Linked DNA regions of Caenorhabditis elegans. The protein of the gene in region 1 interacts with the protein of each later gene in a pairwise test. Each region holds a gene or a part of one and is shown on either strand. Other genes may lie near its edges.

Region 1 (3,800 bases):
TCAAGTGTACCCGTAGAAGCAGGCAGACTTCGTCAGAGTCATGCGTACATCGTTTCCCGCATTTTGAGGCAAAAAATAACGTCACTAACAACAGGTTGATGGATTTTGCCACGTGACTTTGTGATATCTATTCTCGTTTTTTCCTTCATCTTTCAACTGTCTACGACAAAGAATAACGTGACCATAGGAATTTTCTGAGATTGTATAATTGCGAATGAAATATCAAATATGGAAAGGTAGATGAAAAGTAGAAGTACCCCAAAATATTATTAAATTTTTAAAATTAAATCTGGAATTTTTAGGTCTACAAATAATTATTTCTCACGAGTTTACCATTACAAAAAGTTATCCTATGAAAATATATTGTGATACATCTACTACATAAGTGACCAAAAATTGTTTCCAATAAGTTTTCTATTCAGGCTTAGAAAAGCACTAATCCTAAGCTTAATAGTTAATATTTTTTGGGACTACACAAGTATCCCAAATGACTCTGGGAAAAATGTTAGCAAAGTGACAATGTGCCGACATTTTGAGTGCACATTGCACTCTACACTGGACACTTCTCATCGCTTCTCAATTTAATGTAAACATAGAGGCTAGACGGAAACTTAATCGGGTTTGTATGACGGACAATCACAACGAAGAATATAAATGAGTGTAAACCTCGTGAAAGGTTCGAATTCAACGTTTCAAATTTGATATAGCCATTGAAAAATGCTTTCTATCCAACAACACAGTTTTAGTTACTCCAGCTAAAAGATTTATTCTTATAAAGAAAATGAGAATCAAAGTTACAATAATGTGGAATTTATTATGTTACAGATTCATTTCAGACTTAGAGAATTTGAAGCGGCTTAGGCCTTGGTAGCAATGTAGGAGATAAGGTCGACGACTCTGTTGGAGTATCCGAACTCGTTATCGTACCATGAGACGAGCTTGACAAAGTGTGGGTTGAGTGAGATGGATGCTCCGGCATCGAAGATGGAAGAGTTGGTATCGGAGACAAAGTCAGTGGAGACAACTTGATCCTCGGTGTAAGCGAGAATTCCCTTCATTGGTCCGTCAGCGGCAGCCTTGATAACCTTCTTAATGTCATCGAGGGAAGCTGGCTTCTCAAGACGAGCAGTGAGATCAACAACAGAGACATCTGGGGTTGGGACACGGAAAGCCATTCCGGTGAGCTTTCCATTGAGCTCTGGGATAACCTTGCCGACAGCCTTAGCGGCTCCAGTAGAGGCTGGGATGATGTTTTGTCCAGCTCCACGTCCGTCTCTCCAGAGCTTTCCTGATGGTCCGTCAACAGTCTTTTGGGTGGCGGTGACGGCGTGGACAGTGGTCATAAGTCCCTCAATAATTCCGAAGTTGTCATTGATGACCTTGGCAAGTGGAGCAAGGCAGTTAGTGGTGCAGGAAGCATTGGAGATGATGTGGTCGTTGGCATGATCGTACTTCTCGTGGTTGACTCCGACGACGAACATTGGAGCATCAGCAGATGGAGCAGAGATGATGACCTGAAATTTAAATATATTTATCTTGAAAAATTAAATCACTAATTTACCTTCTTGGCTCCTCCCTTCAAGTGAGCATTGGCCTTCTCGATGGTGGTGAAGACTCCGGTGGACTCAACGACATAGTCGGCTCCAGAGGCTCCCCATTGGATCTCAGCTGGGTCTCTTGAGTTGTAGACCTGAAATTGAATAGAATATTAGGTGAAATCTAATTGGAAATAATTCTACCTTGATCTTGTGCTGGGACTTTCCTTCCTTGGCGACAAGAAGGTAGTCTCCCTCGTGGGCAACGGTTCCCTTGAAGCGTCCGTGAGTGGAATCGTACTGGAACAAGTAGACCATGTAGTCGATGGAGATGAATGGATCGTTGACGGCAACAACATTGACACTGTCCTTCTCGACAGCGGCGCGGAGGACAAGACGTCCGATTCTTCCGAATCCGTTGATTCCGACACTTGGCTTGGTCATGATGCGTTGAAGCAGTTTCCCTGAATTAAAATTAGAAGTTGAAAATACAATAGAAAGAAAATTGGAAGGTATATAAACTCGCAAAAACGAGGAAATGGCAGATTCAATAAGATGAATAAATATACAACCTTTATTGAGAAGAGACCATTTATATACTTGTAAGCTTCTAGGAAAATTTTAGATACTAAAGAGAAGCATAGATTTTAAGACAAGCAGTTAACTAGGTGAAAGTAGGATGAGACAGCTTAGGCCTTGGTGGCGATGTACGAGATGAGATCAACAACTCTGTTGGAGTATCCGAACTCGTTATCGTACCACGAGACGAGCTTGACGAAGTGTGGGTTGAGTGAGATGGATGCTCCGGCATCGAAGATGGAAGAGTTGGTATCGGAGACAAAGTCGGTGGAGACAACTTGATCCTCAGTGTAAGCGAGAATTCCCTTCATTGGTCCGTCAGCGGCAGCCTTGATAACTTTCTTGATGTCATCGAGGGAAGCTGGCTTCTCAAGACGAGCAGTGAGATCAACAACAGACACATCTGGGGTTGGGACACGGAAAGCCATTCCGGTGAGCTTTCCATTGAGCTCTGGGATAACCTTTCCAACAGCCTTAGCGGCTCCAGTAGAGGCTGGGATGATGTTCTGTCCAGCTCCACGTCCGTCTCTCCAGAGCTTTCCTGATGGTCCGTCAACAGTCTTTTGGGTGGCGGTGACGGCGTGGACAGTGGTCATAAGTCCCTCAATAATTCCGAAGTTGTCATTGATGACCTTGGCAAGTGGAGCAAGGCAGTTAGTGGTGCAGGAAGCATTGGAGATGATGTGGTCGTTGGCATGATCGTACTTCTCGTGGTTGACTCCGACGACGAACATTGGAGCATCAGCAGATGGAGCAGAGATGATGACCTAAAAATTTAAATATATTTATGCACAAAAGTTGATTACAAGTTACCTTCTTGGCTCCTCCCTTCAAGTGAGCGTTGGCCTTCTCGATGGTGGTGAAGACTCCGGTGGACTCAACGACATAGTCGGCTCCAGAGGCTCCCCATTGGATTTCAGCTGGGTCTCTTGAGTTGTAGACCTGAAATTTAAGAGAATGTTTAACAAAATATGTTTGGAAAATATTCTACCTTGATCTTGTGCTGCGACTTCCCTTCCTTGGCGACAAGAAGGTAGTCTCCCTCGTGAGCAACGGTTCCCTTGAAGCGTCCGTGGGTGGAGTCGTACTGGAACAAGTAGACCATGTAGTCGATGGAGATGAATGGATCGTTGACGGCAACAACGTTGACACTGTCCTTCTCGACAGCGGCGCGGAGGACAAGACGTCCGATTCTTCCGAATCCGTTGATTCCGACACTTGGCTTTGGCATGGCTGAAAATTGATACTACTACAATCAGTTCAACTAACATACAAACGACAAATAAAAATAGAATGATCGAAATGAAAATCGAATCAAATTGAAGAGAGAAGAATATGAAGTGAAGCCATAAAAACCATGTTTACTATTTGACGAAACATGTGCAGTAAGCGAAAAAAAAATGATGCAATAGGCAAGATGAAGAAATGCGGTGTGAGAGAGAAAATAGAGAGGAGAGAATAAGTATGCATAAAAAGAAAGGGAAAATTGAAAATGATGATGCAAAAAGAACAGAGAGCCGTTTGAAAAGCCCTCTATTTTTTATGTTCCGTGTCCTTTCTCGATTTCCTTCAGTCGTTGCTGATGTTGTTCGAGAACCTGAAATGAAAGTATTGAAGAACGTTGAAAGGTAGTGGAAAACAAAAAAAAAGAGATTGTTTGTGAAAACCAATCTATCTCTTCATTAT
Region 2 (4,968 bases), 9.3 Mb from region 1:
TTTGCTAACACCTTATTTGTTGAATATTCGATGGAGAGACTAATAATTGAACATTTTTGCATCCCAATTTTTCACAAAGCTAATATTTCGCGGTTTTTGATAGTTGTTTAAGACTGGGATGTATAGTTGGTGTTTCAATTTTGTCTACTCAGTTTTTTTTTCAATTTAAAATTGTTTTTGAAACAAAAACGTAAAAACCATTACATAAAAGTTTATAAGTAATTTAAAAGTTCCATTAAAAACAAAAAATAACCATGGTATAATCAGAGTATACATATATTGGGCATTTCAGAAGCAATAACTTCCAAATAACTTCAATGTGAACTGGAATATATGTAGTGACAAAATGCGAAATACTTAAATTGTGTAAGAGTTTAGTGTATACAGATTAAAATAAACTGACAAACTAAAAAAAAATTATAAAAGTATATATATATATGTCAAAAATTTGAGACTAGTAGTAACCTTAACAGTAAACATATTTTCAGCATGTTTTTGGTATAGCTCTGCACAAAATGGTAGTTTTATGAAATTATTGTGCTCAATGTTATTTCCTTGAAATAAATCTCGATTATTTTTTGAATAGTTACACTTTTTGGTTGAAGTTATTGCACCAAATGGAAATGAATTTTTCAAAAAGTTTTAAGTAGACGTATGAAACGGAAATAAAAAGAGTATGCAGAAAAAGATGCAAACCGAAATTGTTTGAAAAAAAAAACTTTAAAAAATGGCTTTGTTAGCCTTAAAGGAGTTATTGTTTTGAGCATTAGAATTAGATCCCAAGTCATTTGAGAACGTAGGAAAATCAAAATGTAGGTTTCTCTATGTAATTGATCGTAGTAAAACCCATGCACGTAATTGCTTCTATTACATTACATTACGATTTTCATATCAAATAATTTTTTTTCAGCATCTCTCAAACTTAAAGTTTAGTGTTTTGAAAAGATTTCAAATCTGTTTACTGTTTTTGTTACAAATACATCTGGCTAACCCGCCAACTTTGAATAAACACGATACTATTCCGGCAAATTCAGGAATGTTTGCTAAATGACAAATACAGCCGCGTTTCAATAGGAAACTAGAGGTGGAAAAGATGAAAAGTGTCCATATTTGTCTTGATTTCCTCTGCCATGCCGCAATCAAACTTTCTTTCACATAGTTGTTCTGCTTCAATAATTTAAGATTGGATGGTTTGATTTTGCATTTTGCAGAAAATATTATGTTATAAACAAGAAAAAATCCTAAGTTTAACGATTTCCGTCCCCCACGCACTCAAGTTCATTAAAATTAATGACGTAATGCTTACCTCTTTTTATAAGACCGCAACATGAGATTTTCCATCAGACAAGTACCACCTCAAATCCTCAATTTTTTAGTTCTCGAAAGAATGTTGCGGGGTTGATAAAACATGAATCTCTCTTGCAATCATTTATTGACATTATATCTCCTCCTAACGATCAAATCAAATTGGCCGAAAGAAAACGCGTAGAGCCCCCCCCCCCCCCCCCGCCGCCGACCCAAAAAACTGCCATTTTCTCTCCAGTCTCTCTATTTCAATATTCATGCGAGCCTGATATGCTTTTTCAATTTAATAATCATTCACTGTCCCTATGAGTTTTTTTCTGGTTATCTCTTTTTTTTCTTCAACTTTATCATTTGTTTATTCACGTTTATCAGCATTTTTCAGCTAAAACAGAATGAGGGAGCTTGACCCGGACGAGTCGAACCTTCTCCTCGATGAACAACTGTCGATCCGGGATGTGATAGAACAGTAAGATTTTTGAAAATTCAGTTAATTCTTGAAATAACTAAGAATTTCCAGAGGTCCATTTTCAAATGTATACCGAATACTTCATGGACCATCAAATCGAAAATTTTTACTGAGATCAATCAATTTGAATTTGTTCAGACAGCACACCGGGTTAGGATTTGAAGGTACAATTATTGTTATACAGTTGTTACATGGGGTACGACTACATGTAGTAGTCGTATTCCAAAAAAATTCTACGCACCTACTAAAATGATTTGTTCAATTCAAAAGTTGAAGCAGTGTACTTTTGTAGTAGCTGTAGTTGCTCTACTATACAAGTATCAAAAATAGTTTTCTCCCATTTTGATAAAGTCTTTTTTTAATTTTGGTTTTTTGTCTTTACAAAAATTGATAGGTTTTTGTAATGTTAATCGATCTAGTGATGAACTAATATCTTTCGAAAGGAGGCTCAAATGCAGTTAAAAAAAAGTTAATTAGAATAAAAATATCCAATTTCATTGGTTTTCATCCAAATACCATTGAGACCGTTAAAGAAAAGTTTCAACATTTTAAAAACAGGAAGTCATCGTTTCAACACACTGTCTCACAAAAGACTGAATTATTAGTTTTTGATGTTTTTTTTCGAATTGAACAAATTCAGGTGGTTAATACACTTTTTTTTTAAAGTTATGTTTTGACCTTTATTGTGGATTTTGAAGAATAAAAAATTTCTCAAAAAACAACCTGAGTGCACTTTTAAAAATTGAGAAAAAAAAAGTCCCCGCAGCGGATATTATTATTCTCGCCACCAGTTTTCCAATCAGAAGCGCACAAAATGTCCTCAAAGTTCTCATCTCATGAGCTCAGCAGCTCCAATCCCAATTCATCAATCAATCTATCAGCCATCATGTGTCATTTCGAACTTTGATCATTTTACCGAATCCGATCTAAATATAATTATTTCATTCCAAACCATCTCTTTTTCAGAAATCGACGAGGAAATTAGAATATGCCAAAATCTACAGCACCCTTACATATGCCGACTGGAAAAAACTATCAACAGCGTTCATTATCGACATATCATTTTTGAGAACATGGAGGGAAATGATATTTGTTTTGAAATAGTTCAAAGAGCAAGTAATGGATTCGTATTTTCTGAATATGTAGTAAGGTTTGTATTTTTACAATATAGACTGTGTGTCACGGCGTGTAAATTGGGACATCTGGCCTAGCGAAAAGTGAAAAGTGAGAATCCTAGGCCATGGCCGCTGCAAAGCGCGCGAAATTTGAATTTAAATTTTTAATATCATTGAAATTCGATGAATGAGACATTATAATGGATAAAACTGCAAAAATATATACAAAATTGTTTTTAAAATGGATAAATCACATATAACAACGATTATTTTCCTAAATAAAAGTGGAAATTCGATTTATTAGGCAATTATTAGGAAAATTCGACAAAAATGGCACATTTTTGAACTTTTTTCAAAAACTAGATCCACAAATTTTCTGAAATTTCACCAGATTACTCAGTAGACTACTTTAATCAAATTGTGTGCAAAAAATTCATACCCACCGTCACAAGTTCCTATTGAATTTTTCTATTTTAGCTCCGAAAACCACTAAAATTCGACAAAAATGGCACATTTTTGAACTTTTTTCAAAAACTAGATCCACAAATTTTCTGAAATTTCACCAGATTACTCAGTAGACTACTTTAATCAAATTGTGTGCAAAAAATTCATACCCACCGTCACAAGTTCCTATTGAATTTTTCTATTTTAGCTCCGAAAACCACTAAAATTCGACAAAAATGGCACATTTTTGAACTTTTTTCAAAAACTATGCCCACAAAGTTTTTGAAACTTCACCAGTTTACTCGGTAGAGCATTTCAAACAAATTATGTGCATAAAAACCATACCCACCGTCACAAGTTCACATTGAATTTTTCAATTTTAGCTCGGAAATTCACAAAAAATCAGTGAAATTGGCACCAATTTGAAATTTTTTCAAAAACTAGATTCACAAAGGTTTTGAAACTTCACCAATTGACTAAATGAAGGTTTTTGAACAATTTAAGTACATAAAATGTATACCCACCATCACAAGTTTACACTTAAAATTGCTGTTCATTAATGCAGTTCTTCAAACTGCCTTGTTTCGTTTTCTGCGTAGTTCACTTTTTTTTGTATTTGAATTTAATGTAATTTTAGTGTTTCTTTTATTCTTTTCCAAAAAGATAATGCATTTTTTGCTTGAATTCAAGGATATTTTCATATAAAACGAAACCGGGAAGTATTAATTGCTAAAATTTATGTGGACTACGGTAGTCAAGTCCGCAAACACCACGCGCATTTTCATAATTGCGTACATTTGTTTTTCAAGCTTTTTTCTAGGCCAGAGGTACCAATTTACACGCCGTGTGTGTGTAAAAATAATTAGCATAAATTTTTCAGTCACTATACACGGCAGCTCCTAGATGCTCTAGATTACTGTCACACTAGGAAAATTGTTCATAGAGATGTACGGCCTCACAATTTAGTATTAGCGTCGTAAGTTAATTAATATAGAAAAACAACAGTTCAATGTGAACTTTCAGAAAAGATACTTCAGCTCCACTGAAACTGTGTGGATTTGGAGTTGCAAAAGATTTGTCTGAAATTGGTGGTTCAATGGCTTGTGGTATGACTCGTTTTTCAAATGTGCATTCATATAATTTCGAATTTGAAGGTCGAGTAGGTGTACCGCAATTCATGGCTCCAGAGATAGTGCGAAAAGATCGAGTGTCATGCTCGTCGGATATCTGGTCTTCCGGTGTCGTCCTTTTTCTCTTGCTAGCTGGACGATTACCTTTCTCCGGGTCTACTTCCGATATCTATGAAAGGATCATGCAAACAGATGTAGATGTGAGGTTTTTTCGAATAATTTTTCTGGTTGCGCAAGAGAATCGGTTAAAAGCAAAAAAATCGATACAACATAGTTTTTTACATACCAATTAACATTTTTATGGGCCTAGAAAACCTGAATCCTGAATAAGTATTCTATAAAACTTGAAAAACGTATTCCTTCTGGTTTTGCTCCCGTGGTATTTCTGTGAGTATCAGCAAAATATAAGTCACATAAATTTTCTGGTTCAAAAGTGTGTAATTAATTTTTAAAAAAAGGTAGGGGGTCCTTATTATATAATTGCGCTTAAAAATGACATGGTTCAAGA

Evidence for each region.
Region 2: the proteins of gpd-3 (region 1) and lin-2 interact in a two-hybrid assay, tested with the Caenorhabditis elegans proteins (3 studies listed by BioGRID).

Annotation. Positions count from the first base shown.
Region 1 is NC_003284.9:3,111,343-3,115,142, forward strand, and holds gpd-3 (Glyceraldehyde-3-phosphate dehydrogenase 3), read right to left. Parts: upstream 2,000-3,800; 5' UTR 1,980-1,999; coding exon 1,740-1,979; intron 1,691-1,739; coding exon 1,562-1,690; intron 1,515-1,561; coding exon 858-1,514; 3' UTR 749-857; downstream 1-748. Other genes in the region: gpd-2 (Glyceraldehyde-3-phosphate dehydrogenase 2), read right to left, coding at 2,225-2,881, 2,928-3,056, 3,106-3,345; mai-1 (ATPase inhibitor mai-1, mitochondrial), read right to left, coding at 3,655-3,711.
Region 2 is NC_003284.9:12,410,755-12,415,722, reverse strand, and holds the start of lin-2 (Protein lin-2), read left to right. Parts: upstream 1-1,681; 5' UTR 1,682-1,697; coding exon 1,698-1,771; intron 1,772-1,822; coding exon 1,823-1,935; intron 1,936-2,737; coding exon 2,738-2,921; intron 2,922-4,210; coding exon 4,211-4,306; intron 4,307-4,353; coding exon 4,354-4,436; intron 4,437-4,484; coding exon 4,485-4,660; intron 4,661-4,968. UniProt on the Caenorhabditis elegans protein: May play a structural role in the induction of the vulva. May be required for the localization of signal transduction molecules (such as let-23 receptor) to either the basal membrane domain or the cell junctions.